7 linked regions of the Xenopus tropicalis genome follow. The protein of the gene in region 1 interacts with the protein of each later gene in a pairwise test. Links are inferred from orthologs where the notes say so. Each region holds a gene or a part of one and is shown in the gene's direction. Other genes may lie near its edges. The genes, in order: cep63, ccdc14, ints6l, ezh2, gse1, snrnp70 and smc3.

Region 1 (4,306 bases):
GAGAGAATGGGGTGAGTAACCTAAGTTACAGGTTTGGACAGTGGGATCAATTCTGTTAATCGCCCAGCATGTTTTAGATTTGAGGTGAACATTTATTAGAAGTCAGTAATAATTCTAATACTGTTATTATTACTGATATAATAACATTTGTATTTATCTATACCTTGCTTTAAAATTAAGGAGGACTGGTCAATTAAATGTATGACTGTAAGGGGTGAGTCTGAAAACCAATATATAAACATATTTATTTACATCTGCTGCTTTTTTTATAACTCTGTGTTCATCTTCATTAGGTCTTTGCAAGGCTCCTGTGAGGCTGAGCTGCAGGAACTCATGAGGCAGATAGACATTATGCTGGATCACAAGAGGTCGCAGTGGGAAGCAGAGACTGAAACACTCAAGACCCGTCTAGAGCTGAAAGAGCAGGAGCTGAAATCTTCACTGGACAGAGAAGATCACTTAAACCAGGAGGTAGACCAGTTGAGAAGTTACAGACAGAACCAGCATTGTGGCTTAGGATTAGTGCAGTCTAGTGCACTTATTGTATATTATGCCTTATTTATAAGAATTGGTCACTTTGTTTTCCTGTTTGAAATATAGATATTTCCTCTTCTGCATATTAATCTCTAAGAGGCCCCCAGACATTTCCAAAATGGCGTACAGCTCAGTGTAACTCTCTCAGGTCAATTCTAAGATCTTCTGTTTTGCTTTGTTTCACCCATTCTTCAAGTCACACCTCTTGTAGGAGCACCATTGGTGGATCATTAGCAGATTGATAGGGATTAGCGGCCTATTGTCAGGGGACAAACAGAAACCCTAGAACAATAGCTGCAAAAACCATCATTAACATTTTCATAAACAAGTTTTTACCTCATATTTGCATTATTAAATCTTTATATATAATGGAAGGAACAGTAACGCCTCCCAGGTAATTTTTAATTTTAGCAGCACTTCACTGACACTCCATAAAACTATACATATTTGGCACTGGCATATTCATGAAACATGGCGATTTCTAAATCAGTTGTATTTCCACATATAAAATAAAACTTTGGTATTTAGACCCCTAAATTTTGTTACAGAAGTGGAATTACACAAAAAATTATAAAGTCCAGGTTGTCCTTAAGAAACTGATAGTTTTCATGGGCAAACTATAATTCCCCTTCAGGAAATGCCCCTAAAGTGAAATGACTGGCAAATAAAATGCTACAATTCTGCAGGTAAAATTGTTATTCCAAGGCTTGTGTAGATGTGGGTCTGGGTTTGATGGCACACCAACAGATTTTAAAAGGGCAAAAGACAAATTGTCAGTAAAATTACATCTAAAAGACAAAATCTAAAAAATTTTTACAAAAGTGGAGATAGAGATTTGTGAATAAGGTGGAAAATCCGACAAGTCTATCTGCATTTTTATTTTGTCTCAATATTGCCACTTTTGTGAATTCCCCCTTTTGAGTTTGACCACTCCACAGGATACCCCTCTCTCAGACCTCGGTTATTCCTCCCTCCTGTCTATGACACTCACAGATACATATGTTCCATGAGCATTTAGTACACAACTGTGTTAGTTTGGGATGTACATTATTTATCTTTGAATTATGTGTATTTTTGGGGATAAACTAATCTGATTCCTACAGGTTAGAAGACTGAGACAGCAGCTCATACAGCAGGAAGAAGAGACTCAGAATAAGACTGTACAGTATGAGGCTCAACTGTCAGGCTTTAAGGAGGAGGTGAGCAATACTCTTTAGCCCTGCCTTATCCAACATGTCCTTGCGTGTCATTGGATTTGCTTTCATAACACAGCTGGCCTATCTGCCTTTTATCTCCATACAATCTGTGCCCTCATTAAAGGAGAAGGAAAGGCTAGTAAAGAGTTAATCTCAAGCTGCAGGCATACCTTCTCAGTAGTGCCCTTAAGTCTCCCTATATTTCTCCCGTTCAGAAGATCAGAAGCCAAACAGGAAGAAAAAACGCTGAGCTGTGTAAAGAAAGTTCCCATAATGCCTCACTCCTGCACAGACACCCAGACCAAGTGAACATGCTCAGCTTCCTGCTGATTGGCTCAGATTCACATTCCTAAGGTGGGGAGTGAGTTCTTAGGATTCTTGAGGGAGGGGGGAGCAGGAGAGAGCAGAAAGCTGCATGTCTGTGGCACAGGAATTACAGACACAAGAAATATTTTGACAAAGAAGTCAGTGCAGCGTTTCTGTGAGTGCTTATGGCTGTATTTACATAGACCTTTCTGATAAAGCTTACTTTTACCTTTCTTTCTCTTTTAAAGCAGTATTTTTAGGATCTTAAAATATTTCACTGTTTTGCTCAGTTAAACAGATTAAAAAAAAGTTACGAGAAAGTACAGAAGAAGCACCTGCGATCAGAGATGAAGAATAAAGTAGACGAGGAAAGATCTGAAGTCAGCCGCCTGACGCGGCGGTTAGAGGTATGTATATTTTTATTTATATAATGCTACTTGTGCACACGGCACTGTACTGAACTATACATTCAAGGTAAACCAAAGCTTAAGCAAACAGGTAGGGCAGAAATGTTGTTCATTATGTTTTGTGCTCCTGTACCAGCCAGAGGCAACCACAGCCCTTTAGCAGGGAAGATCTGTGCCCCCAAATATGCCCCAGTAGCCCCCCATCTTCTTTTCTGCTGATTCCCTTACCCATACTCTGTGCTGCTGGCACTTACCTGAGCTTAGGGACCCACTTACAATATACTGTGTGTGTGGCAGCTCTGAAACCAGTTAGCTAGCATCAGACTTTAATAATTAGCCCTGCAGTCTCAGCTTATTTTACAGGCCAACTTCATTTTCTGCTCAATACTTTGTGATGACCCCTAAGCTCAGCTTCTCAACAGCTGCCCAGAGCACACTGAGCATGTGAGCATGTGAATTTCAAAATTCAAGATGGAGGGCTCCTGCGACAACTCTGAAGGCCTGGATCATTGCTGCTACAAAGATGCTGAAACTTTAGGCTGGTTCACTATAAAAAATATGGAATTTTAGCCATATTCATTTTTATTGTTCTTTAAAGGGCATGTCAACCCCAAAAATAATTTTTTGCATAATGAAAGAAAACATAATTCTAAGCAACTTTCCAATATGAAATAATTAAAAATTTGTAGCGCTTTAAACGTTATTTGTAAATGTAATTGCTATTGAAAGCAGCATTTGCTGAACTCCTGGCTGTTACATTTTAAACAATGTCGCAAAGGTCTTGCTTCTCCAGCAAGTCAGGTCTGTCAGTCTGCTGCTTGTGTTACATTGTTTCAACAGTCTGAGCCACCAGGGCAGAGATTAGAAAAGGACAGGCAAACACTGCTTCTAATAGCAATTATATATACCAACTCAAAAACCATTACAAACTTGTAATAAATGTATATTGCAAGGCTGCTTAGAATTTTGTTTCTTTTATTTGCCAAAAATTATATTTTGCAAGTACAAAGTACAGTTAAATTAAAAATTAAGAGCTAAGTGTCAGAGACAAGTGGAAGGACAACCCTCCCATATAGAGTTTACAGTCTAAGTGGTTGTAAGGGAGCTGAACCTTTTTAAATATGCACTTACTTCTTAGATAAAGTAATAGAGAAAGACAATTTATAGTTTAAGTAATTGTAACCTTGGGTGTTCAAGCTTTTGTGGAATGAAAATACTCAACTTCCATGTACTCCTGTGCAACTGAAGGTTGCCTTTGTGTAAGTTCCTGTGTAAAAACTACTCAGTTATTTGTTTGCTGTAATTATGACTGAGCAGATGGACTGCTGTTATTGTTGTAGATATAAATGATCCTTGTTTTGAAAAGTATTGTGATTCTTTTGAATTATACTGTTAATAAATGCAATCACTGGTGGGTGTTCCCATAGGAATTCCGACAGAGGTCTTTGGATTGGGAGAAGCAGCGTCTGTTGTATCAGCAGCAACTGGCTGGACTTGAGGCACAACGCAAAACTTTGAGTGAGCAGGCAGAAATGTACCAGGTATATTATCAGATGAGTTGTTTTTTTAGTCATGCAATGCTTACATGAATTAATTACTTTAATCGGACAAAAGAGCCCTCTCATTAGAAAACAGGACACTCTGCAGAATAATTCTTGGCCCACAACTCTTCCAGTCTGGAGCTGCCTGCCTTAGTTTTTTCATCTTATGGGCTCTTAGGAAGTAATAATTTTTTCACTACCTGAGCAGGACTGACAACCAGACTGACAAAGCTGTATGAATGGTCACTGGTTCCACCAAGGTGGGCAACCAAGGTGAACATAGCTAGTTTTATATTACACACTATGCTGTGATACTTATTGG
Region 2 (4,741 bases), on another chromosome or scaffold:
TAATGCTGTATAATCTCTGTACAGCTCTGCGGGGTATGTTAGCGCTACATAAAGCATAATATACTGAATTATGTACCCCCTATTGTAAAATATAAGGATATTGTAAGTCACTAAGTTTTATGATCGTATAAAAAGCTGAATGAATTCAGCAGGAACAGCCCCCTAAGTTTGCTCATAGCCTGTACAGAGAGATACCATAAAACTATGGCACATAGGGATTCCCCTGTACTAAGCACAATTCAGCAGGAACAGCCCCCTAAGTTTGCCCATAGCCTGTACAGAGAGATACCATAAAACTATGGCACATAGGGATTCCCCTGTACTAAGCACAATTCAGCAGGAACAGCCCCCTAAGTTTGCCCATAGCCTGTACAGAGAGATACCATAAAACTATGGCACATAGGGATTCCCCTGTACTAAGCACAATTCAGCAGGAACAGCCCCCTAAGTTTGCCCATAGCCTGTACAGAGAGATACCATAAAACTATGGCACATAGGGATTCCCCTGTACTAAGCACAATTCAGCAGGAACAGCCCCCTAAGTTTGCTCATAGCCTGTACAGAGAGATACCATAAAACTATGGCACATAGGGATTCCTCTGTACTAAGCACAATTCAGCAGGAACAGCCCCCTAAGTTTGCTCATAGCCTGTACAGAGAGATACCATAAAACTATGGCACATAGGGATTCCCCTGTACTAAGCACAATTCAGCAGGAACAGCCCCCTAAGTTTGCCCATAGCCTGTACAGAGAGATACCATAAAACTATGGCACATAGGGATTCCCCTGTACTAAGCACAATTCAGCAGGAACAGCCCCCTAAGTTTACTCATAGCCTGTACAGAGAGATACCATAAAACTATGGCACATAGGGATTCCCCTGTACTAAGCACAATTCAGCAGGAACAGCCCCCTAAGTTTGCTCATAGCCTGTACAGAGAGATACCATAAAACTATGGCACATAGGGATTCCCCTGTACTAAGCACAATTCAGCAGGAACAGCCCCCTAAGTTTGCGCATAACCTGTACAGAGAGATACCATAAAACTATGGCACATAGGGATTCCCCTGTACTAAGCACAATTCAGCAGGAACAGCCCCCTAAGTTTGCTCATAGCCTGTACAGAGAGATACCATAAAACTATGGCACATAGGGATTCCCCTGTACTAAGCACAATTCAGCAGGAACAGCCGGCACAGAGAGATACAATACACACACACAATACTGTATCTATAGAGAAGACAAATGATTTACACTTCTCCCCTATAATCAGTACTTGTGACTCCCAGTCTCCCAGTTGCTCAGAATCAGAAGGTTACTGGGGCTGTTACTGACTCTCCCATAATGCCCCGGGGGAGTAGAAGCAGTTCCGGTCCCTTTGATCCCGGGGTCTCTCACCCGCCCCTTTATTCTCCGCTTCCCTTTCATCGTCTCCAGCGGGAAACTGAGCGGCCATAGAAAGCCCCGGCTGCCCCCCTCCCCACAGAGCCTTTCCCCTCCCGCCGGGACCAACTACACAGGCGCCGCCACACGGACTGACCGACTCGGCTCCCTCAGCCGCAGTATAAAGCTGCCCAGGCCCCGCCCACTCCCCGTTACCCCGGCAACAAGCATTTCTCTTCCCGCCAGCTGTAGCGCGGCTGCTGAACTTCCGGCCGCAGTTGGTATCCATGGTGACAGTTCCGGCAGCGGCTGAGAAGGAGATTCGAACATGGCGAAAGCGGGAGGCCGAGCCGGAAAGGTACCGGGAGCCGGGGGCAGGGCTTGGCGGGGCCGGTAAGGGGCAGATACACAACGGTATATAATGTTTGTTGGTGCGGGGGGGGGGGTAGATATTCCCATGATTATAACCGGCAGCGCCAGAACCATTGGTAATACCTGTCCCCTTTAGTAGGAGCCCAAGGACCACAATGTGGGGCCACAACCTTGCCCCAGGGGACCCCAATGTGGGGCCACAACCTTGCCCCAAGGGACCCCAATGTGGGGCCACAACCTTGCCCCAGGGGACCCCAATATGGGGCCACAACCTTGCCCCAGGGGACCCCAATGTGGGGCCACAACCTTGCCCCAAGGGACCCCAATGTGGGGCCACAACCTTGCCCCAGGGGACCCCAATGTGGGGCCACAACCTTGCCCCAGGGGACCCCAATGTGGGGCCACAACCTTGCCCCAGGGGACCCCAATGTGGGGCCACAACCTTGCCCCAAGGGACCCCAATGTGGGGCCACAACCTTGCCCCAAGGGACCCCAATGTGGGGCCACAACCTTGCCCCAAAGGACCCCAATGTGGGGCCACAACCTTGCCCCAAGGACCCCAATGTGGGCCACAACCTTGCCCCAAGGGACCCCAATGTGGGGCCACAACCTTGCCCAAGGGACCCCAATGTGGGGCCACAACCTTGCCCCAAGGGACCCCAATGTGGGGCCACAACCTTGCCCCAAAGGACCCCAATGTGGGGCCACAACCTTGCCCCAAGGGACCCCAATGTGGGGCCACAACCTTGCCCCAAGGGACCCCAATGTGGGGCCACAACCTTGGCCCAAAGGACCCCAATGTGGGGCCACAACCTTGGCCCAAAGGACCCCAATGTGGGGCCACAACCTTGGCCCAAAGGACCCCAATGTGGGGCCACAACCTTGGCCCAAAGGACCCCAATGTGGGGCCACAACCTTGGCCCAAAGGACCCCAATGTGGGGCCACAACCTTGGCCCAAAGGACCCCAATGTGGGGCCACAACCTTGGCCCAAAGGACCCCAATGTGGGGCCACAACCTTGGCCCAAAGGACCCCAATGTGGGGCCACAACCTTGGCCCAAAGGACCCCAATGTGGGGCCACAACCTTGGCCCAAAGGTGCAGCCAGCTGGTACCAGGGGTGTAGGTGTAGGGGCAGTGAGACACAGGCCCTTGGGGTGCAACCCATGCCCATAACCTCTCCCCATTATTATTTCTGCCAGGTTGTTTCTTCTGGACGCTTGGCCGGACCCGTCAGGCTGGGAATTGGTAAAAAAAGGTACGAGACCATTGGAAAAAAAATAGATATATAAATGTTAAAAGGCAATAGCACTGCCTGTAGCCTGGCACTGACATGACTGGGCATTAGAGCTGTGTCCCTAGGGCCCCATACAAAGGAATGATTGTGTCAATGGGAAGCTCCACCAGCTATAGCCTTGGGGGCCCCATTAGTGCAGTCCCAGCTGCCCCCCCTCCCCCAGGGGCAGTCCTAATAGTCCCAGTGCTGCACCCAGTGCCACGTTGCCATTAATTTAGTTCACGTAATAAACGTGCACCTGTAACTTGTGAACGATTTACCAATGTGAGCTCCGATTGGCTGTTTGACAGGGCGGCGGCGAGAAAGGTTTCCACAACGTCTGTCGATTCCGGCTACTCCTTGTGCTCCACAGACTCCGAGGATCAGGTACCGACACTTCATTTGGTTATTGCTGCCCTTGGGAAGGGGGAGGCTTACGTGCCATTTTGGCCATAAACTTGGTAATACAGTTTGAGGGGCCACAGTCCACTCCGTAGGGGGCCACACATGTAGTGAACTCTCAGATTGTTCTACCACTGCATTATATTTCATCTACATAGAGGGGAGACCAGGCTGACTAATGACTCTACCAGCCAAGTAGTCCAAACTGTTGTAAATACAGATAATATTGGCCTATAAGGTTTTGCTCTTTGGGTGGGGGGCGTATTAGTAACACAAATCCCTGCCGTACACTCACCACCATTAATGTTACACTGCAGGTCTTCGTAATAAATAAAGGGCTGGATCGATGTGCCGCTTTGCTGCAAGACATCCTCCAACACGACACAAGAGGTACAGTGTTCTATGCCAGTGTTCTATGCCAGTGTTCTATGCCAGTGTTCTATGCCAGTGTTCTATGCCAGTGTTCTATGCCAGTGTTCTATGCCAGTGTTCTATGCCAGTGTTCTATGCCAGTGTTCTATGCCAGTGTTCTATGCCAGTGTTCTATGCCAGTGTTCTATGCCAGTGTTCTATGCCAGTGTTCTATGCCAGTGTTCTATGCCAGTGTTCTATGCCAGTGTTCTATCACAGTGTTCTATCACAGTGTTCTATCACAGTGTTCTATCACAGTGTTCTATCTCTCTTCTACTGTGTATGTCCATCCATTTAATCACTCACCATTTGTTACAGGAAACCCGCAGTCCCATCCAACCAAAGCCCCTGTACATAAGGTCTCCATCAGATCTGCCAGCGTCCGAGGCAAAAGGATTGTGCCAAAGAAACCCGGCGCTGCTTCCCACGTGCACAAGGAAATAGGTTGGTTCTGCATCAAGTCTGTGTTGGGTTAATCCTCTTAAGGTGCCCATACACGGGCCGATTGTAGCTGCTGATATGAGTCCCTTAGACTAATTCGACAGCTTATCGGCCCGTGTAGGGGTACAAACGACGGGCCTGCCCGTCTGGAATCTGCCTGATATCGATCGGGCAGGTTAAAAATTTAGTTGAATCGGGGACTGCATTGGCTCGTTGATGCGGTCCCTGAACCGACTGTGCCTATTACCGGCATTCTAATTCGATCGTTTTGCCCCAGGGCCAAACAGCCGAATTAGCCTAAATTCACCCGATATCGCCCACCCGTAGGTGGCGACTTGGCGACCTCACCAAGCGAGCGGATCTTAACGTGTATGGGCACCTTTACTTAGTAACATGACCGTGACACTAATGTCACAGGAAGGGTTAATATTTTTATGATATTTGTTGCTTGCTTG
Region 3 (4,962 bases), on another chromosome or scaffold:
TTTTTATTGTGTGCTGCTTACTCTGTTAAAATAAAATAACTTTTTAGGATCCATTAAAACTGTGCCCCCCCCATTGGCAAAATGTTGTAAAGTATAGAATACCCTCTACCGAACTAATTTATAGAAACAACTGGCAGCCTTCAGAAGACACAGAGGCCTGTTTCATAATTTTCTAATATAAAATGTATTTTTTTTCATCTAAAAATGGTATTTCAACACAATTGACTAATTTTTCTATTTTTGAAAAATGGCTTAATCCACTCCATGTGCCTGCACCTGGGCTGATGCAATGGCTTCGAGTGCCAGCACATCAAGAAGCTTTATGGAGCCAGGCACACAGCTGCAATGAGGTAAACTGAGAAACTCACCTTAGGTGGCAATGCCCCTCAAGTTACCAGGGGCACCAATTGCGCTTCCTGCACTAGCGATGCAACCCCCCTCAACCCGTGCTGAAACTCCATCAGCAGTTGCAAAAAGTGATAGGGGTTGGCATTGAATGCAGCTGTCTGAGCTATTCCTTTGTTCTTAGGTGTGCAATTTTGTTTGTTTAATAAGAAGCTTCATAGATTTACTCTAACGAAGTTTATGGAAGCATATGTGAATTTTTTTATTTACTTTTAGGAAAATCTATGCCCTATGAGGCTTGGCACACTGAAAACAACAAAACTGGTGGACTGAGCACTATCAGGGTTGAGGCATTTGCTGTTTTAGGCAATGAATGGACAATTGCAGGCATTTTTGCCAACCATGGAGCTGGAAACCTTTAGGAGATAAAACACCAGACTTTAGTTATTTCTGTCTGTTCTACTCGGGATTTTGGCCACAGTTTCAAACATGTGTGCCGTTTTGACCTGGCCATACACTTGAGTTTATACCTGGTATGTGATTATTTTCATTGCATTTGCGAGATTATTTATGCTGCCAGACTAGAATTAGGCACCTACAATGGATTTCAATTTGCCCAAATAAAGCAGGGACAAAGGAAACTGTATGCAGGGAGCCACGTTGTTACGAATAACTGGTGACAACTCACAGCCAAGAGGTTCTGCAGTGCCAAAGAGACGGCTAAAGTGATAAAAGGAAAGTAATGTACTGCCCCACTAAAAAGAATTGAATTTTAGCGAAAAACGCAACCATCCTGCGGCTGGTGCTTACACCCATCCCTATTAACTTGACCATCAGCAGGAGGTACAATAATGACCTTCCCGGCAAGAGCCTGTTTCACACAGTAATCTGCTCACTGCAGATTACCCAGCACCTCAAGCGGTGAAACGGAAAAAACATGGCGGCCGTGCAGTTGAACTACATTTCCCTGAACTCCACGCGGAGCTAAAATAAATAAATAAATCCATTCCCCGCCTTTCCTCGTTAATATGCAAGGGCTGGCCGCCGCATGGAACCAATAGCAGGGCACAGCGATCACATGCCGCGCTAGTCGGGTTTTGGCTAAGATAATCATGAATATGCTAATTGCGACTGGGGCTTGCCAGCCAATACGGCGGCGGGGCGGTCACATGGTGCGCTGGTAGAGGTTAGGAAGAGAAGTTATCTATCAGTGAACACTGTACAGAGACTCAGAGCTCAAGTGAGCTGTACGGGGGTAGCCCGTTCTTGGGGGCCGGGGACCCACACAACATATCGTTCCCTCTACTGAGACAGGGGTCCAATTTTACCGTCCCACCAAACAAACTCCACATAGCCAGCAAGATACCCCAGGGTGTGGGCACAATAAACCACCGCAGCGCCAGGGTAGCCCAGGCTGGCGGATCCATCGGGTTTCCGCCTATAGTATGCGCTGAAAATGCCTATCTTACTTTTCCTCATAGACACGTCCGCCTCTATGAACCAGCGCACTTATTTGGGTACCACCTATCTGGATATTGCCAAAGGCGCGGTAGAGATATTTATGAAGGTAACAGGAATTGTTGGTGTCTCCCAGCGCGGGGGAGGGCTGATGGGTTTATTTTATTTTTGGGTGATTCGTGTTATTTGTATGACTGTGTATTCACCCCTGCCTTCCCTTGTGTTTGTGTCCCCGCAGCTGCGTGCCCGGGATCCTGCTAGTAGGGGCGACAGGTATATGCTGGTTACATATGACGAGCCACCATACTGCATCAAGGTAAACGCATTTCAGCTACTACCCCGACTCCGTGGTGGTTTGTATCTGGGGAAAAAGCTAGGCCCTTTAGTCGCCTCCAGCCGCACCTGTAACAAGACCCCGTGGGAACGCTCCGTAGGACGGAGGAAAACGGCAGGGCGGACCCGGGAGCCTTGCAGGCCGCGGCGGGCGGGGTGCAGGGGGTGGTTTCGGCGGGAGTAGACGGGTCGCAGCCTCCGAAGATGGCGGACATCTTGCTTTTGTATGGGGCTGAGGCGCCCGAGATGGAGGCGGGGGGAGAGAGCATTGGTGGGCGGTGCTTATGATGTCACAACTCATCGCAATATCATTGGTCTTTGTAGACGTGTTGGACCCACCCTTTCCTGTTTTATTGAAGTGGGCTGCACCATGATTGGCAAAAAAATAAATAAGGAGCGGAGATTACACGAGTCAATGAGTGCATGGTTTAGCATATGTGACATGTCAGGGAAATTTAACTTAAGTTCAAACATTTCTGTGTTTAACAGTTGCGGTGTAAAAATGTGTTATTTAGTCTTGTTTCCTTCATGGCCACTTTTAGTCAAGTTTAATTTAGCTTAACTGTCACTGACTTTAGTTACACTTTAAAGGGGCACTAAGCCGCAATGCAAAGGCTTATACTAAAAATATTTGTATGTCCGTTGTTTAAATTAAGAAGTGTTTGGAGTTCCTTTACTAAATAGGGCAAACTATAAAAAAATAAAAAGTGGTTTCATTTTCAGCCCCTTATGTATAGCTAACTGATCCTTACCTGTAAGCCTGACCCACAGAGTGCTTCTTTGGAAAGGCAGGGGGTTGTTTATATGGAGCAAAAATGTTTCTTAGTGCTTTGTAATAACACATGTAGATATTTTAAAATAGAATATGTTTCCTATTTGTTTTGCTAAAGTTGGGCTATGGTGTACACCTATTATAATAACATGGGTCTCGTTAGGGCTTTAAGTATCTAAATAATGTGGCTTTAATGTACCAAAATATGACTAATATGACAAACCTGACAACTGCTTGTGTTAAAATTATTTGGGAAAGTCATTCAATCTAATTATTTGACAGTAGTGTCCATTCCCAATTTTCCAGTTTCTTTGTTTTGTGTGCTGTGGCAGCATTAATAATTGTTCCCCAACTGGTGTTTAACCCAGCTGGAAAAATTGACCAATGATGCCACCTACTAGTGCAAATGCCAGAGCCACAGGGCAGAGAATACTAAAGGACAGGCAGACACTGCTTCTAATAGCAATTATGTATATATAATTATATGTATATATATACAAATAAGTCAAAGTCCATTGCAAATTTGTAACAACGCAAAGTTGCTTAGAATTATGTTTTCTTTTTATTAAGGCCAAAAATTAACTTTTGAGTTGACTTTTTCTTTCATTCTTTTGTGGCCCCCTCAAAATCATAATACACTCATGCAAATGGTTACATTTATCTTTTTTAACTGTTTTCACTGATTGGAAGCTTTTCCAGATACTCAATTTAATGACAAAAGCATGAGGCTAATGTTCCAACATAGGTGATAACTTGCACAAGTGCATTGCCGATATCTTTATCTTTACCTAAAGGGTAAAAAAAAAAACATTAACAGAGATCTACAAAGACAGATTGTACCATGCACAACATATATAAGGGGCATTTACAAATGCAGCGCAATGCTCATAGTGCAATTTTGGGAGGTAAGTTACCATTTTTTTCCCTGCACAAGTTGCAGTCAAAATTGTCATTGTGGGGCATTATCTTTCTATGTATACCTTTGCTAAATTGAGAACCACAAATAGGAATTATGTTGAAAATGTATTCTCTATTCTGGTAATAGTAAAAAAAAAGTCACTGGTGGAAAATTAGCTTGTTTTCGCTGTATTAAAACTCCCCCCTATATGGGCTGGTAATTTTCTTTTTCAGCCTCCCCTCTGTTGACAAAAATCAGGAAATGACAGGAATTAGTAAAGTTTAATTTTCTTATGTGTAGTGCAAAACATAACACATTCCTCATTTATACAATTTTTATTCATAACTAAATTATAAGGGTATAGTCCACATTCTGCAATTGAGAGGACTGATAATGTTCATGGCGCACACGTTAAAATTATACACATCAATTTACTAGTGCTGATGTGTGGTATGGGCAGCCTTTCAACCCTCTCTTGATTTACAAAATCAAGCACCACTGCTACCATGATGCCACCAACAGACAGGTTCTTTTCCTTCAGTTCTGTATCTGACTCCTAGTTACAGCAAAAGCTTTTAAGAAAAAAATGAATTGCTCTACTAAGCAAGATCGGTAGCAATCAGCAGAAAATTTGATTAGTACCTTAGCTTGCTATCAACTTGCTTTAATGTACAGAGAGAACTCAGTACAAAAACAAAGCATAGCTTTCTGAATTACTTTCTACAAAATCTAGCCTACTTTGCTTTCAATACATCTAAAGCAATCTTCAGTGGCATGCATCTAAAGACAAGGAAAATATTTATTAAGTTTTCCCTGTGCAATAAGTTACAGTTGCCAGACATTTTTTTAAATGTAGTCCGTTGATAGCACAATGGTTTCATATGGATTTCATACAGGTTTCATACAAAAAGAGAAGTGGGGTGCAAGTGAATAATTCTGGTACCCTCCCACCAGTATCACATACAATAAAGGTTACACACCTACCCAAAACAGTGTGCAGGGTGTTATAGGTGTCATGCTGAACAACATGAAATAAACGCATACTTGCAAGTGGACTTGCATGTTTTCTTTATTAGTTGTGGATTTCTGCACAAATTTGTGTTGGGAAATTAACAGCAGCAACAAAAGTTTATAGAAAATTGGTTATTGGAGCAAT
Region 4 (4,812 bases), on another chromosome or scaffold:
GCTCCGTATGAGCAACATCACAATGCGACTGGGCGGCATGCCGCCCCTACATATGTTCCGCCCTAGGCCCGGGCCTTTGTGGCCTCGCCACAAATCCGTGCCTGTATGCAGCACCTGGCCAAAGGATACTGAAGCTTTAATGAATCCTGAAACTTTCATACGCAAAGTACGAAAAAGTTGCTGAAATTAATAAACAAATTGCAGAAAATACACACACATTTATAAAACTTAGAAAAAATACAATTTTTTTTGTATCCGGACTCAATCAAACATTGATAAATGGGCCCCTTTGTGTACTTGATACTTTATTTGGATAGGCTCATTGGGACAGGTGTTGTGTTTTAAGGCCCAATTAAGCAGCTGAATTTAGTAAGAAATCACATCCCATGAAATCTTTAATAGATCTTTTGTTTTGTTCCTCGGCCCGGTTTACCCATAGGCCCTGCAACCCGTGTGTAACAGTGTGGCATTAAACCTATTGATAAACAGGTGTGCAACCCATGCTAATGTAGTACTGGGAGCAAATCATAGCTGCATGTGTGCGGCCGGTCAAATACCAAAGCACATAGAAAGAGACAGGCCCACCTTTGTGCCCCATTAGACACTAGAGCTGACTGGAGTCCGTAACATACCATACTAGCCCATTCAGATCGAAGGGCTGTGTCGAGCAGCTCCTACAAATCCACACTAGGGCAAATTTCGTGTAAAGATATAAACTTGTCAGCCCCTCTATAAACGTACACATCAAAGTATTACTACGTTTCGGCCAACATGCATTAAAAACACAGTGGCACTGATCGAGTTCGTTCGAAGACAACTAATAGCAACTATACAACCTTGCACTTCCCTTCCCACAATTCCCCAGCAATCTGCCTCAACCAACACGTTCTGCCGCCAGGTTACCTGGGGCCATTCTGTCGCTGGTGTAGGAGAGCACGTGATCTATAGACCACGCCCCTTTCTACAGTCACCGCCCAAAACGCTTTCAGTTTGAATTGCTCCATTTCTAATTCCGCGCTGCATTGATACGGCGGGAATTGTCAGCGCCCGGTAGGACCGTTCTTAACCCCTATACGGCAGAGTCATATCCGTGTGAATCGTGTACACAAGTCACAGCTGTTATAAAGCGTGTGATATTCATCCCGGCTACTTCAAGAACAGAACAATTATATTCTGAATGGGCGCGCCGGCTGCTATAACTCGGGATAAAACCGATGGCATATTGTATATGTATATATATTTTTTTTTTTATCGTAAACCAGTTGTAAATTTTCAAACACACCCAGAGATGAGAATATTGGTTGAGCAATAAAACATTAATAATGTAGTATAAAGTAAAATATATATTGGAGTAGACCAAAAAGCGCCAGAGCGCGCCCCCGTCTCAGTCAGTTTTAGAGTACGGCCAGAACAAAGGAAAACAGAGTGCACAGCGGCTCTATAACACTGTATGAGGGAATAGCTGGCGCCGGCTTCGTTTTCCCTCTCTGCTTTCCTATTGGCTCGTACAGTTCCGGGCGCCCTTGAGCAAGCCAATTGGAACCTAGTTAGAGGGAGCTAAGCACCGGTCATGGGGGTGGCTGAAAGCTGCGAGAGGTGGAGGTTTATCTGGGAGATTTAGTTTGGCGCCTGGGGCTGGCGGTAGTGCAATAGGGATTCCATCGGTAAGGAGATTCGGGTAGTAAGAACGGAAGAGGAGAGCCAGGCGAAGGGGAGACGGTCATAGACACGGTAATTGAAATAGAGCCTAATTATGTACCGGGCACATTGGTAATGTGGGCCCTATGTGGGAGCAGACGAGGACAAAGGGGCCGCCCCCGGCAACAGAGGGGGAGGGGCTCCAAATGCAACCTTACAGCTGGAGTTTAATGCGGGAATATTTTCACTGTCAAATCGTGGTTTGATTACAATAACAGGGTTGTATGGTCCGAAGTGCTGTGTAATGGAGATTTAACTTCAATGGACGTGTAAGATAGACAATATACCAACACATAAGTGATCGGGCCAATCCTGTGACAACCATAGGATGCCTTTAGCCTGTAGCGGGTTTCTGGTGATTCTGGGAATTGTAGTGTGGCCAGAGCTTGTACTCTGTGTTTCACATCTCTGCATTCGAACGTGGAAGTAGCAGGTTAAGATTTAAACTCTGGTGTCTTAGGGTCAAGGACTGTTGATGCAGTCCAACTCTAAGTTGGACTGAACATGTATTGTAGGATTGCATATCCCAGCAACACCTCCAAGGGTTTGCTAGTCTTCTGCATATCATCTGTATTTGGTGTTGCCTCTTTGTTGGTTTCCAGCTGTTGAACTACAACTCCCAGCACTGACATTGGTGAAAGTTATACTTCAACAACAGTCTGAGGGGACACTGAACATCCATGGCAGGGCAGCTGTCACACATGAAGAGAGGACAACCATGCTGGGCCATCCAAAGCCCTCTTCAGCAAGTCGCAGGTTTCTCTTAATATTCTACCTCAAAACCTCTGTAGGGCCAAGTGACTTTCTGATTGAGGAATGAGAGGAACTGTGTGGTGCCAATATAGTGGTAGGGGGTTAAGTGCTACTGTAGTGAAGTTGCATCAGTTGAGCACTAAGGACTAGACAGAAATCAAGCTTTTTCCACGTACGTTATTGGTGTAGCTAAAACCTGCAGGTGAGGGTGTGCAGAGCAAAGTAAAAAGTTGTCATCAGATAAGAGTCATGGAACAGTCTGTCGGCAACAAGAGGAGGTACTGCGTGGGTGCATACAAGACACAATGCAGGAAGTTGTAATAGTTTTGAAAACGTGTTATACACTAGTGTCATTGACGGTATAGAAAGGGCATGTGTGTGCTGGGACATACATGGGGTGATTAACTTATTGAAACAGACTCCAAAGGGCTGTATGACAGCAGCTCCACGGTCAGCTGTTTTTGTGCTGTATCCGGCTGCTGCTTTAAGAAGTCATTTTGTGCATGACAAAGTTGTGTCAGTCGTCGGATGATATTGTGTGACAGATCATCATCACTTGGTATGTTTTTTTTCCTTCAAGATTTGTCTTGTGTATTTATTTTGTTATATATTAAAATTCCTTTTTAGCTCTAGGGTCTGACCCGCATATCCAATTTTTAAGTGAGTATAGTTGGAAATGCACTGTCAGAAATTGCATCTGATATTTGTACATGGCAGTGGGTGTGTATGATTTTTGGCTGCCACTATGTGCCCACACAAGCAGTTGTTCCAGCTACACTAACACATAAATTGGAGACATGCAGAGGATGTCTATCTTTGCGATTTGTCTATCTTTAGGGTCAGGGTTATGTATTTACCAGTGTCGGGCTGAAGTTTTTCATTTATCTTAAGGCTCTTGCTGGTCTATTATTGCTTCATCGTTAATGTAGTGACGAGTTTTGGTTTATCTGGCATGTTTGGAGTTACTGGGAGTGTGCATTTTCTGTGGCTAAAAATCAAAATAGAATGCGCACTTCTCAAACATCTCCTGATAGGCAGTTGGGTGGAACCAGCGTTGGTTAATGCACATGCACCACAACGCAACTATCACAACAAAATGGAAATCATTGCAATGTCAGTTGGAAGCACTGGAATAGACTCCCAACACATCCATGCCTCTGATCAGCTCGCTGATTATCTTTCCACAAGTGTATATTGAATTTGTCCTATTGGTGCTCTCTCACAAAGTTTGTAAGATCTAGGTAAAACCAAGATGTATTCCACAAGTGGTTCCACTTGTCCCATCCCAGTGTGCACCAAAGTAGGATAGGAAAAATGTTGGACATGGAGCTGCCTCCAGAGTCCTTGTCTGTGCCATTTAATGTCAAGCAGATGCAGTTGGAGACAAACTCTTCAGTAGGTTAGTTATTTGGGACTCCTTTTCCACCTTTCTGGGGCTCTTTGTTCATTACTGCCCACTTGTCTATCTTTCAAGCCCATGATGAAATGAAAAACTGTTCCAGCAATGACTTGGCAGACACTAGCCAGAGGAGGCCATGGACCATATATTAAAAGATGGGAAAGATCTTCGCACCAAAGGTTTTCCCTTTCATTGTAAGATCTTTGAGAGTCCAAAGACCTTTTCTTTTATCAAATCATTCTCTCATCCCAGAACCTTAGGGCAGCACCTTCACCACCAAAACATTCTCCAAGGATTTTAGTGAAGTCATACTTAATGGAAAATTAGGAAATCATGACAGTTTCACTGTCTGAAAAGCAGGGTTTTCTGTAGTTGACTTTAGCTTTTTAAACTCTTGCTAAAGGTGCCCATACATTATAAGATCTGCTCGCTTGGCGATGTCGCCAAGCGAGCGGATCTTCACCCGATATCCCCACCTACGGGTGGGCGATATCGGGTAGCAAGTAACTTAAAAAAAAAAGTAATGGGCCAAACGATCGGATTACATTTGTGGTTATGGGGCATTCGGTTCGGGGACCGCATCGGCTCGTTGATGCGGTCCCCGGATATCCAACCGGATATTCTAACCTGGGCGATCGAGATCTGGCCAATTTCAGGCCAGATATCGGTCAGCCAGGTCGCTCTGTTCTGCCCATACACGGGCCGATTAGCTGCCGAATCGGCCCCTATAGTCGGCCCGTGTATGGGGACCTTTAGTCTTCACAGGTCTAGATAAACACTCTCACTGACTGCTGATCTATGCAGAAGATGGTCGCATAGTGTATGTACAGTGAGTGCTTGATCTGAGATCTTGCTGGTCCTGTTGTGGTGATTCCTCCAATCTATGTATGTATAACTTTATTTATAAAGCGCCACAAGGGTACGCAGCACTGTAAAATACAAAATTACACACAGGGAGGACA
Region 5 (3,257 bases), on another chromosome or scaffold:
TTTGATTCAGTGGTTTGGCACTAGGGCCAAACAATCAAAGTAGCCACATATCACCCACCTTAGGTGGCCATATCAGGAGAAGATCCGCTTGTTAGTCGACCTTCCACACAAGCAGATTTTACTGTGTATGGCCATCTTTTAACTTGTAGCAGACTATGCACCTTTATTAGACAAACCCTGAAAGTGTCATTGTCATCTTTGAGTAGAATTGCTAACATACTCTCATGAACTTTCCATTCGATAAGCAAAAAGTGGAGGCTCGGCAGAGCACAGTTTCAGTCCCTTTCCCTGTTGTTTTGTACAATGAAGAATAAGCTGCCAGGAAAAGATATCAAAGAATTTCCCTCACCTTTAGTAGAACCTGTTACTAGCTCATTGCTGCTTTAGTTCGTGGTGACGTTGGGCTTTATTCCTAAAAATTCCAGTGAAAGATAGTGCCTTGAAGGAAGGAGAGAGGGGGCAGCACATGCATGTCAAGTAGAGAGATTTGTCCTGCTGGGCAAATGGGAAAGTACTAAGTACTCCATGTCAAAAAAGCCAGTTAGGCTATATCGCTTGCTATTGTGTGGCCTAACCCAAGTGTGCAACCAGGTGTGGTACAATGCAGGGAGAGTGGGCATCATAATGCAAAGCGTCTCTAATGTAATCGTTTTCTAATGTAACAATATATTATGACTACTCCATGCTATGGCACTTTACTAGTTTGCAGATAAATATAGTTAACAAGCATTCCATATTATTGTGCCTTGCTGTATTTACAAAGATTCAGATGTACATGTTACCACAGCTATGTTTCACTTATGCTCCATAATTACAGTTGCTTATATCTCTTTGAAGTGGGATTAAATTGTACTTTTTTTCTTTGCAGAACAAAACCTAGAACGGCAGGTTCTGGAGAAGCAGTGTAAAAGACTAGAATCCCAGCACTATAACCTGAGTCTGACAGCTGAACAGCTGTCACACCGCATGGCAGTAAGTGATGTCCCTGTCTATTAACTTCTTTTCTCACAGTGCCCCTTACGACTAAAAGCATACTTTGGCGTGCAGTCTTTCTAGCTATTGTTTAAAAAAACAAGCCAGCAGTGTAGTGCTTTTTGTGGAAGGTTTCTCTATGCTGGAAAGGTGCATGGACCATTGCTAAGATAGTTCAGTAGATAAGCAGCGTAATAGAGAGGTGCAGGCAAAATGTTTTCTTTATTCTACTTGACATTGACATATTCTTGGCTCCATGACTGTATTTATTTTCCAGCTGTATATCAGTAAATGCTTCTACAGTCAATGCGATTTATCGGCATTTTGGCCTTTAACATGGTGAGATTCTTGCGTTCAGTCTATTTACACCATGCATCTCTCCCCACAGGACTTGATGAGCCAGAAGCAAAAGGTGGCATCAGAAAGAGAGAGATTACAAGCTGAACTAGAACACTTTAGGAAGTGCCTTGTTTTGCCCACAACGCCGTGGTCTAGAGGATACTTCAAAGGCCACCACAGGTGACATCTTGTCTTGCACTAGGTTTGATCGTACAGTATAGAAATATCTATTTTATTATCTCGATATTTAATATTTTTCACTGGGAGGATTGGGAAACATCATCCTATTTCTGTCACATTCTGCACCACCCTGGGAGAAAAACAAAAAAAACAAAAAAAAAATCCATATATATAAATATATGAATGTGCCATGCATGTCTCAAAGGATTATGAGAGATTGAGAGAACAACCAACCTCAGTCAAGGCAAAGCCGTGGGCATTTTCTTCACCACATGATTTCCCTGTTGGCACCACATCCCATACCAGGGTCCCTCATTGACAGACTTTTGGCTGCATCTGACACTACAAGCAACCTAGTGCACTGTCTGCCCTCTGGACTGTACCAAAGTGGGTGCTTACCTTTCTGAATCCACCCTTCATTGCCATCATTCTTCAACCTGAAACCGCATTGTACTGCTTTATTTATCACGGATTCCTTGTGTCCTTGCCACAGAAAGGAAAAAAAAAAAAGTTTGAAAGTTCTATGACTTTTATGGTATATCTTCTTTTAATCAGAAATGTAATATGCTGAAATTGGAGGTTAAGGACTTATTTCTGTAACACAAAAGACAATTTGTCCACGCAGAGCTTTGCAGCTTGCAATGGGAATGCACTTAAACCTGGATCTCAGATTGGTTGAAGGTACCTTTTATTAAATACCTGTCACATGGTCGAGGTTCTATACTGCAAAGCTGCTACACACCTCCCATAAGCAGGCAAAAGGAAACCGATTGGAATCTAGACATACTGATCAGGTGCTTCAGCCTTGGACTGTATATATTACAAAGTTGTTTTTTTTTTTTTTGTTTTTTTTGTAAGTTTTTATTGCTTTAATTATTGTTATAAAGAAAAAAAACTGCCATTTTCAGCGCTTCTGCATTTTTTTTCAGCCAGAGGAAAATACATGTCTCTTTTAAAGTTGCTATTTAGTGTTTGTATTCTGCTGCTGGTCAGGAATTTATCCTATCAAAGTCTTTTTGAGAAAATTAAAAGTTGGAAAGAGAATTAAAAGTGGAAGGTGTTTTTGCCTGTCACTTGAGTGTTTGGGGTGTGTTACATGAGCAGATTTGCCAGTAAGATGTGCTGATTTTAGGTTGTTTTATGTGTGGTATGTGTCTGTTCTTCTGTACTCACACTGGCCTATTGAGGCAGGCATATTCATGTTCACCCCTCTAAAATCTTAGACTAAATCCAGCCATAGATGGGCTGGTCCCGCATGGTATCCTACTGATTGACCCATGAGCAGGACAGATACTGTACAAGGGGCTGTACACAGTATGGCCAATGTTAAATTGTTCTTTTTGCTGAGTCTAACATCCCTGAAAGATCAGAGCAGCAAAATCTTTGTATTAACGTGGTCAGTTAATAGTTACCAATCGGGATCATCCAGCCACTATACATGCCAAAAACTGTATAATTTTATTGGTATATGTATGGCCAGATTCAGGCAGAGAACACTGTGTGGCAGCTTGTGTGTGTATGTGTAACTGTGGTACAGTGATATAATTAGGCTTCAGTTTTATGTTCTGCACTTGATGAAACACATGGACAAAACAATACAGACAGAAGATGATTAGAAGGGGGGGTGGGGGCAGAGTTTAAATAATGTGTGCTAAACAGGTCATCTTCCCAGTGGAATTAGGGATGGGGCAGTCTCAGACTGGGGCACTTGGGGCTCGCCAGGGAACCTGATGCCTTTTATTACATCACCCCCAAGTGAGAACTAA
Region 6 (3,036 bases), on another chromosome or scaffold:
TTAGATTTGATTTGGTGTATGTTTGTCCACCAGATGGCCCTGTTGCAGTCATTGTAAATTTATTTTGGTATGTAACCAACACCCGAAGAAGCGCTGGTAACTTTAAAGCTGTTTTGGGGTTTGTTAATGTTGGGACAATCTCTGTGATCTCTGCCCAATTTAAAAAAAAAAAAAAAGGCATCTGCTTTTGTTAGTTCTCCCATTCATTCATTCCTCTTGGGATAGCTTTATCTATACCTGTTCTTTTTTTGTCATTTCTTTAATGCAATTCCCTCCCCCACCCCTCCCCTAGAAATGCCGATTTCTTGCCACGGGTAGGAAGTAAGTATATGTAGCACAATCCAATTTATTTAACCCTGGGTAGTTGAGAGGCGGAACAGATGATGGATAATGTGTGGGCATGATCCTAATGTTCTGCAGTATGGACATAGATCGTGCCATTGCTGGCTTAAAAAAATCAATTGAGACAAAAGCAGGAGTCTCTGTGATACTGGCAACCACCATTCAACTATTCATCAAATCAGTCAATATACTGTTACAATGGAAAGAATCGAGGCAGCCAAGGCAGGTAAGACAGTTTCTCAGCTGCGAGAAATTCGTCAGTTCAAATCCAGTTTAAATAATAAAAAAAAAGAGGAACTTCTCGAGGTTCAAACATCTTTCCAAGATATCGTCATGAAATTCCGTTGAATTTGAGGCGGTAATTTGAAAGGTTTTGTAAGTAGTTTAACCAGGTAAATTTTATTTTTTCACTTATTTTAGTGGTACTGTCTTTAGTTCATCTTGCTTTATGGTAGTTCTTGGCTATAGCAATATGCGAATGGTTATAGGGACTATAAACACCGCAGTAGTTTAAAACATCAAACTACAAGTGTGCAGCGCTGTGGCCAAAACTAGTCTTCACATTCAGCTTAAACCATGACACATACTGCCTTCTGGCATACCGACTTGAAATGCTGCCAGGTAAGGCAGTCGTTTGTGATGGATGAGTATGTCCTCATCTGCTTGATAGCTGAACACCCTGAGCGACAGGCTACAAGATTAATGTGAATTAAGTCAATATGTGTAAGTTGCGATAGGAACAACATCATTTTTAACGTGTTTTTCTTTCAGCATGATTGGGAAATTTAAGAGGTGGCATTGGAGTGTTGGTGAGGAGTTTTTGCAAGGAAATGCTACTGCTGGATAGCTTATTTGGCTTTTTTGGTCTTACTCTGAAAGCTGTAGAAATCTAGGGGTTGGGACAATAGGCCTTAAGCCATAAGACACGATAAGTATTTTTAACCTCAGCTCTTTTGTCCATTAGGTGTGGAAGGCACAAGATACTTCTCTATATCGTGATTGTTTCCGTATTGTGTTTTTTTTATTGTGCTTCTGTTCTATTCAGGGGGAACACAATGAATTGTTGATAAAAGTCTAAAACTGTTCAGGAAACCCTGACTTGTGCTGTCCAGTAGAGCATTTACTGCATCTTCTCCAACACTTTTTTTTTTTTTTCCTTTTGTGTCCAGGGTTAAAGTGCTAACACAGGATTTGTTTGATAAGTTTATAGTAGAAACTCTGCTTGATGCCCTGCATAATTTAGTCAGCAGTCTTGTTCTATGTGAGAGGTTAAGACTGTGTGCCTGTATGGGAGGGGGGGATTGTTATGTGCATGTAAGCTAATTGGCTCTGTTCTGCCCTTCTGGAAACATTGTGTTACAGCGGCATACAAGCACGCAGATGGGAAGAAAATAGACGGAAGGCGTGTGTTGGTCGATGTCGAGAGAGGACGTACTGTGAAGGGATGGCGCCCACGCAGACTTGGTAAGGACATCCTATAATTCTTAAACACTTGAGAAACCCAGCAGGACTGAAGTTGTCTGTACAACAGGGATCCCTAAACGTTTTTTCCCCATGAGCCACACTCCGATGTAAAAAGTGTCTGAGCCACAAATCCATGAAAAAAGTTCATTGGGGAGTACAAATAAGGGCTGTGGTTGGCTATTTGGTAGCCCCATGTGCACTGCTGGCCTGCAGGAGGCTCTGCTTGGAGTAAAACTGTGTCTGTGCTTCCAAAACTTGCCTCCAAGCCAGAAATGTAAAAATGGGCACCTACTTTAAGGCCACTGGGAGCAATATCAAAGGAGGTGGTGTTGCCCCTGAGTCGCTGGTTGGGAATCACTGCTGTACGTCATGTAAACGGGGCGATTTTGAATATCTATTCAACCCTCTGTGTTGTGGATCATTGCCCTCCATTAGTTGGCTTTTAATTTAAATACTTGCTACCCATTCTCAGTGCAGTTCAGTAACCGAATGTAATGAGTCTGATAGCAAACATACACGAAAACTTTCTAAATGGCAACGTTCTCTTTCATTCTTCAGGTGGTGGTCTTGGAGGCACAAGAAGGGGCGGAGCTGATGTCAATATCAGGCACTCTGGCAGAGACGATACATCTAGATATGATGAGAGGTAATCAGCCACTGATCTTTTTTCTTTTGTGTTCAGTTTCTTCCGGACTGTTCAGTTATTTGGTCGGTACCTATTTCTTGGTCCATTTAAAGCACTGGGGAAGCCATTTTTTAGGCACCGTCCAGTGACTTAAATAGCTAACCCGATACCCAGGCCTCCACTTCTTTAAAACTTGCACACTTCTGAAGGTAGATTATGGCAGGGCAGCCACATCCCCTCAGGAATGCACTGCGCAGGTCAGACAGTGCAGCTGTAGCCTCAAAGCATTTTGTAAATCTATTGGCTAATTGAAAATTTGCGAAGAATAGGCCATTCTATAACATATTCTATTCTGTGTTTTTTTAGCTTTCAAATGGGGGTCACTGCAGTTAAAACAAAAACAAACAAAAAAAAAAAAAAAACTATTGCTCTTGGGCTAAACCTAATTTTATTGTTTCTATCCATATTCCTGTATCTTTGCACCACTGCTTTGTTGCTAGGTTAAATTGGACCCTAGCAATTGCATAGCTGCTAAAATTCTAAGCCGGAGAGCTGCTGAACAAAAGGCTTAATTTAAAAATGACAAACTCTTTCAGAAAATGTCT
Region 7 (4,306 bases), on another chromosome or scaffold:
AGCTACAGAGATCAAACGATCGTCGATCCATTTAGTTCCAAGCACAATGTTATTGGTAAGTGAGAGAGAACGTACATACCTGTAGCTAAACTCCCGCTTGCAATGCAGCTGCTTATATTTAGAAGCCCTATGATCATTGGACTGTATATGTGTGCGACATGTAGAATATTGCTTGTGCATCCTATAAACCAGCCTATTAACTGAAAATTACAGATAAAGGATTTGTGACCACAGTATATTTTGTTACAAATCACATTGCTAGAGAAGGTGATGCAGTTTCCGCAATGGGACTTTGAGTGTAGACTCACCAGAAGCTGGCATTATGGGCCTGCCATGCTTTCTTTTCATTTGTCCCTTTGTGTAATCATTACCGTACATTGCAGTTCCCCTTTAAAGTGTCTTACTGTGCCTTGCTTATATTCTTTCTTTTTTTACAGTGGGAAGAAATGGATCGGGGAAAAGTAATTTTTTCTACGGTAAGTTCCTTTTCTGTAATGCTGGGTTGTGTCAGGCATGTCACTGTACATGGGGAATAGCTTGTGTGTGTAGGTGGTTACAGTGTAACGTAGTATTTGTAATGAAATAGAACTCCTTCTGTCTCATTATATTGCATAAATATCTGCTCTAATGATTATAGGATCTTCTGAGATGGAAGGTTATGTGCTGTGCTGATATATGGGGGGCTTTTGAAACAATCAAAAGAAATGAATTGCGTAAAACCCAAATTTGAGTCTTGTTTCCAGCACACAGACCTTTAAATTGGTGTAGAAATTATTAATTTTTCCTTCTATTTTTTTTTTTTTCACATATCTTTGTTTAATATGCCTAAATGAGTTATAAGCAGGGCACTGTTTTCTGAAATGTTCATAAGAAACTGCTGCATATTTTGATATATGTGTCTTAGTAACTAATCATTTTGTCATTATAGCCATTCAGTTTGTACTCAGTGATGAATTCAGCCATCTCCGTCCAGAGCAAAGGCTGGCATTACTACATGTAAGTATTCTGCTCAGTCAACTTTGGGATTATTTATTCAGGAAAAAATCTGTACTCTTGCTTTTTGTGATTTGGATCAGTAGGGATTATTGTTGTGGTAACAAACCACAACAATAACCACAGAACAGTCCTATTGGGTTTATTTAATGGTTAAATGGTTCCCTTTTGTCTGTAATAATAAAACAGTACCTGTACTTGATCCCAACTAAGATATAATTACCCCTTATTGGGGCAGAACAGCCCTATTGGGTTTATTTAATGGTTAAATGATTCCCTTTTCTCTGTAATAATAAAACAGTACCTGTACTTGATCCCAACTAAGATATAATTACCCCTTATTGGGGCAGAACAGCCCTATTGGGTTTATTTAATGGTTAAATGATTCCCTTTTCTCTGTAATAATAAAACAGTACCTGTACTTGATCCCAACTAAGATATAATTACCCCTTATTTGGGCAGAACAGCCCTATTGGGTTTATTTAATGGTTAAATGATTTCCTTTTCTCTGTAATAATAAAACAGTACCTGTACTTGATCCTAACTAAGATATAATGAATCCTTATTGGATACAAAATAATCCTTTTGGGTTTAATGTTTTAGTGATTTTTTAGTAGACTTAAGGTATGAAGATCCAAATTACAGAAAGACCCCTTATCTGGAAAACCCTTGGTCCCGAGCATTCTAGATAATGGCTCCTATATCTGTACTTTCCTAACAAAAGGATAGTCAAAGTGAGATGGTAGTGTCCACTTTATTTCCATTTACTCTGTGTTGGGGGTGTAACATTACTGTTAAATGCTTGCATGTGTGTTTTTCTTTTAAAACCTGCATTTCCCATGGTACATGTATATAGGGTCCAGATTCTTTAAAATGTAATAATTCTTTCCTCTCAAATTTAGGAAGGAACTGGGCCCCGTGTTATTTCTGCTTTTGTAGAAATTATATTTGATAACTCCGACAACAGATTACCAGTAAGTTAAAATATTTTGTGACCTATATTTACTCTCCATGAGGGGATTTTTTTTTTAATGTATTTTTTTTTTCTTCTCCTTCAATTATGTTTATTTAGATTGACAAAGAAGAGGTTTCCCTCCGGAGAGTGATTGGTGCCAAAAAAGATCAGTATTTCCTGGACAAGAAAATGGTGACGTATGTGCCGATACATAAACCTTTAACTCATTTTCTGAAAGTATTTGCTGTAATAACTAGATAGTCCTGTATCACATCTTAAATATTTAGACTGTTAACTGCTCTTAGCAGCACATTTGTATTTAATGGATTAGAGATCCTAAATTTTGTTTCTACTTTTTTTTTTTTTAACCACAGAAAAAACGATGTAATGAATCTTCTTGAAAGCGCAGGTTTTTCTCGTAGCAATCCTTACTACATTGTCAAGCAAGGCAAGGTGAGAGCGTTACTGTCTGCTTTACACTGCAGAATTTATCTGTGTGGTATCAGGGAGCCACCAAGTTAATGTAAAACATTAACACCAAAAAATAATATTTTTTTTTAAAGTAATTAAATTATGTGGTCAAATCCATCCACCCCTCTGCACCCAGTAATTTTGTGATATGCCAGTTAAGTAAAATCTAAATGTCACCTTAAAGTTGTGGTTTTCTAACAGCTGCGTTGTAACCCAGTAACTTTGGTAAAAACTATATTTTCACAAAAAGAGTGCTTTTAAATATTTTTTTTATTATAACCATAGTTATTTTACATCCAACTATAGATTAACCAGATGGCCACAGCGCCCGACTCTCAAAGACTGAAGCTGCTGAGGGAGGTAGCTGGGACAAGAGTATATGATGAACGTAAAGAAGAAAGTATCTCCTTAATGAAAGAAACTGGTAATTACATTTTTGCCATTGACTTACTTTAGTATCTTTAGCAATACCTGTTCTCTTTAGTCATATTTTTACATTTTCCTGTCAGAGGGTAAGCGAGAGAAAATCAATGAACTACTGAAATACATTGAGGAAAGGCTGCACACCCTGGAGGAGGAAAAGGAAGAGCTGGCTCAGTATCAGAAGTGGGACAAGATGCGTAGGGCCTTGGAATATACCATTTACAACCAGGAGCTGAATGAGACTCGGGCAAAGCTTGACGAGGCAGGTCTTTTCTGTGTGTAAATGCTCTGTTACTATGTCTAGCTTGCCATTGTGGCTCTAAGCTGCCATTGGCTGTTTGCTCCAAATTTGTCTTGTAACAATTGTGCTGATTTGTCAGTGATTTTCCTTGTAGCTTTCTTCAAAGCGTGAGACAAGTGGAGAGAAATCCCGGCAGTTAAGAGATGCCCAGCAGGACGCCAGAGACAAAATGGAGGTAATCCTAAAAATTATTGACTGTATAGCAATCACCTCCTAGCTCTAACACCAGTGGTCTTCTTAACTAAAAAAAAAAAAAAGGCTCCAAGGGATGCTACAATCAGAAGCCATTCTTAGCAAAACTAATAGTGTTGTACTGTTTTATTATGAGACTTTGACCCTAGAAAATAAACTGAATGGAAACCATGGTTAAAGCATATAGCAGAGATTGGCCTGCATCAGCAGCCCTGGTATCCCAAGACCAGAACTCCCAGCATCTCTTCAACTGAACTGCTGGATGAATTATGGGCGCTTATGCAACATATGAATAGGAATGCCTGCCTATTCTTGGGGTTCAGTTATCTCTGCAGTCATTTCAGTACAGATTTATAAGAGTTAATGTTACTTTATAGAAAATTTACAAATAGAAAAAGTATTGTGATTTAATTCTGATTTAATATAATCCTGAGTCATCAAGAGTAGACTGTCACTTAGTAAGTGGGCTGTGTGCTTTCAATAATGTTTTTTTTAATTACATAGCCGGTTTTATATATACTTTTATATTAATAGGATATAGAACGGCAAGTTCGTGAATTTAAATCGAAGATCTCTGCAATGAAAGAGGAGAAAGAACAGCTCAGTTCCGAGAGGCAGGAGCAAATTAAACAAAGGACCAAGTTAGAACTTAAAGCTAAGGATTTGCAGGATGAACTTGCTGGGAACAGTGAACAACGTGTAAGTAATAACTCGCGTGTATCTGGAAACCACCTGTGCAGCCATACTTGCTAAAGAATACTATGTGGTGCCGTACAGAAAAGCAGAGAGCAGCCTGTTTCTCTAGCGGCCCTCCTGTCAGTGCAGATGTTAGGGTTTTGTCTTGAATCACCTCTGGAGGCAGGACAGAGAATTGAAGCTTAGTGGCTCCTGGTCCCTCCCACTGTATATAAGGCACGTCTCCACCTTCTTCCCTTAGTTCTTTGTCCTGCCTCGGAGGTGTAGGACAGATT

The links.
Region 2: the proteins of cep63 (region 1) and ccdc14 interact in binary tests that used the Homo sapiens proteins (3 or more experiments, as listed by UniProt). The link is inferred for Xenopus tropicalis from reciprocal best matches to the Homo sapiens genes CEP63 and CCDC14.
Region 3: the proteins of cep63 (region 1) and ints6l interact in a two-hybrid assay, tested with the Homo sapiens proteins (2 studies listed by BioGRID and IntAct). The link is inferred for Xenopus tropicalis from reciprocal best matches to the Homo sapiens genes CEP63 and INTS6L.
Region 4: the proteins of cep63 (region 1) and ezh2 interact in binary tests that used the Homo sapiens proteins (3 or more experiments, as listed by UniProt). The two-hybrid records come from large-scale screens. The link is inferred for Xenopus tropicalis from reciprocal best matches to the Homo sapiens genes CEP63 and EZH2.
Region 5: the proteins of cep63 (region 1) and gse1 interact in a two-hybrid assay, tested with the Homo sapiens proteins (2 studies listed by BioGRID and IntAct). The link is inferred for Xenopus tropicalis from reciprocal best matches to the Homo sapiens genes CEP63 and GSE1.
Region 6: the proteins of cep63 (region 1) and snrnp70 interact in binary tests that used the Homo sapiens proteins (3 or more experiments, as listed by UniProt). The link is inferred for Xenopus tropicalis from reciprocal best matches to the Homo sapiens genes CEP63 and SNRNP70.
Region 7: the proteins of cep63 (region 1) and smc3 interact in a two-hybrid assay, tested with the Homo sapiens proteins (2 studies listed by BioGRID and IntAct). The link is inferred for Xenopus tropicalis from reciprocal best matches to the Homo sapiens genes CEP63 and SMC3.

Annotation. Positions count from the first base shown.
Region 1 is NC_030681.2:130,325,985-130,330,290, forward strand, and holds part of cep63 (centrosomal protein of 63 kDa), read left to right. Parts: coding exon 1-11; intron 12-293; coding exon 294-471; intron 472-1,637; coding exon 1,638-1,733; intron 1,734-2,326; coding exon 2,327-2,443; intron 2,444-3,870; coding exon 3,871-3,984; intron 3,985-4,306. UniProt on the Homo sapiens protein: Required for normal spindle assembly.
Region 2 is NC_030685.2:88,353,524-88,358,264, forward strand, and holds the start of ccdc14 (coiled-coil domain-containing protein 14), read left to right. Parts: upstream 1-1,394; 5' UTR 1,395-1,672; coding exon of another isoform or gene 1,673-1,713; coding exon 1,714-1,743; intron 1,744-2,958; coding exon 2,959-3,014; intron 3,015-3,343; coding exon 3,344-3,419; intron 3,420-3,751; coding exon 3,752-3,824; intron 3,825-4,163; coding exon 4,164-4,289; intron 4,290-4,741. UniProt on the Homo sapiens protein: Negatively regulates centriole duplication. Negatively regulates CEP63 and CDK2 centrosomal localization.
Region 3 is NC_030684.2:68,649,720-68,654,681, forward strand, and holds the start of ints6l (integrator complex subunit 6 like), read left to right. Parts: upstream 1-1,530; 5' UTR 1,531-1,801; coding exon 1,802-1,912; intron 1,913-2,041; coding exon 2,042-2,119; intron 2,120-4,962.
Region 4 is NC_030682.2:55,123,500-55,128,311, forward strand, and holds the start of ezh2 (histone-lysine N-methyltransferase EZH2), read left to right. Parts: upstream 1-1,639; 5' UTR 1,640-1,731; intron 1,732-2,300; exon of another isoform or gene 2,301-2,416; coding exon of another isoform or gene 2,417-2,454; intron 2,455-4,812. UniProt on the Homo sapiens protein: Polycomb group (PcG) protein. Catalytic subunit of the PRC2/EED-EZH2 complex, which methylates 'Lys-9' (H3K9me) and 'Lys-27' (H3K27me) of histone H3, leading to transcriptional repression of the affected target gene.
Region 5 is NC_030680.2:64,862,198-64,865,454, reverse strand, and holds the end of gse1 (genetic suppressor element 1), read left to right. Parts: intron 1-868; coding exon 869-972; intron 973-1,360; coding exon 1,361-1,495; 3' UTR 1,496-2,541; downstream 2,542-3,257.
Region 6 is NC_030683.2:113,691,854-113,694,889, forward strand, and holds part of snrnp70 (U1 small nuclear ribonucleoprotein 70 kDa), read left to right. Parts: intron 1-1,704; coding exon 1,705-1,806; intron 1,807-2,364; coding exon 2,365-2,452; intron 2,453-3,036. UniProt on the Homo sapiens protein: Component of the spliceosomal U1 snRNP, which is essential for recognition of the pre-mRNA 5' splice-site and the subsequent assembly of the spliceosome. SNRNP70 binds to the loop I region of U1-snRNA.
Region 7 is NC_030683.2:2,845,312-2,849,617, reverse strand, and holds part of smc3 (structural maintenance of chromosomes protein 3), read left to right. Parts: coding exon 1-55; intron 56-437; coding exon 438-476; intron 477-928; coding exon 929-996; intron 997-1,895; coding exon 1,896-1,967; intron 1,968-2,065; coding exon 2,066-2,145; intron 2,146-2,322; coding exon 2,323-2,401; intron 2,402-2,725; coding exon 2,726-2,843; intron 2,844-2,928; coding exon 2,929-3,104; intron 3,105-3,237; coding exon 3,238-3,318; intron 3,319-3,869; coding exon 3,870-4,034; intron 4,035-4,306. UniProt on the Homo sapiens protein: Central component of cohesin, a complex required for chromosome cohesion during the cell cycle. The cohesin complex may form a large proteinaceous ring within which sister chromatids can be trapped.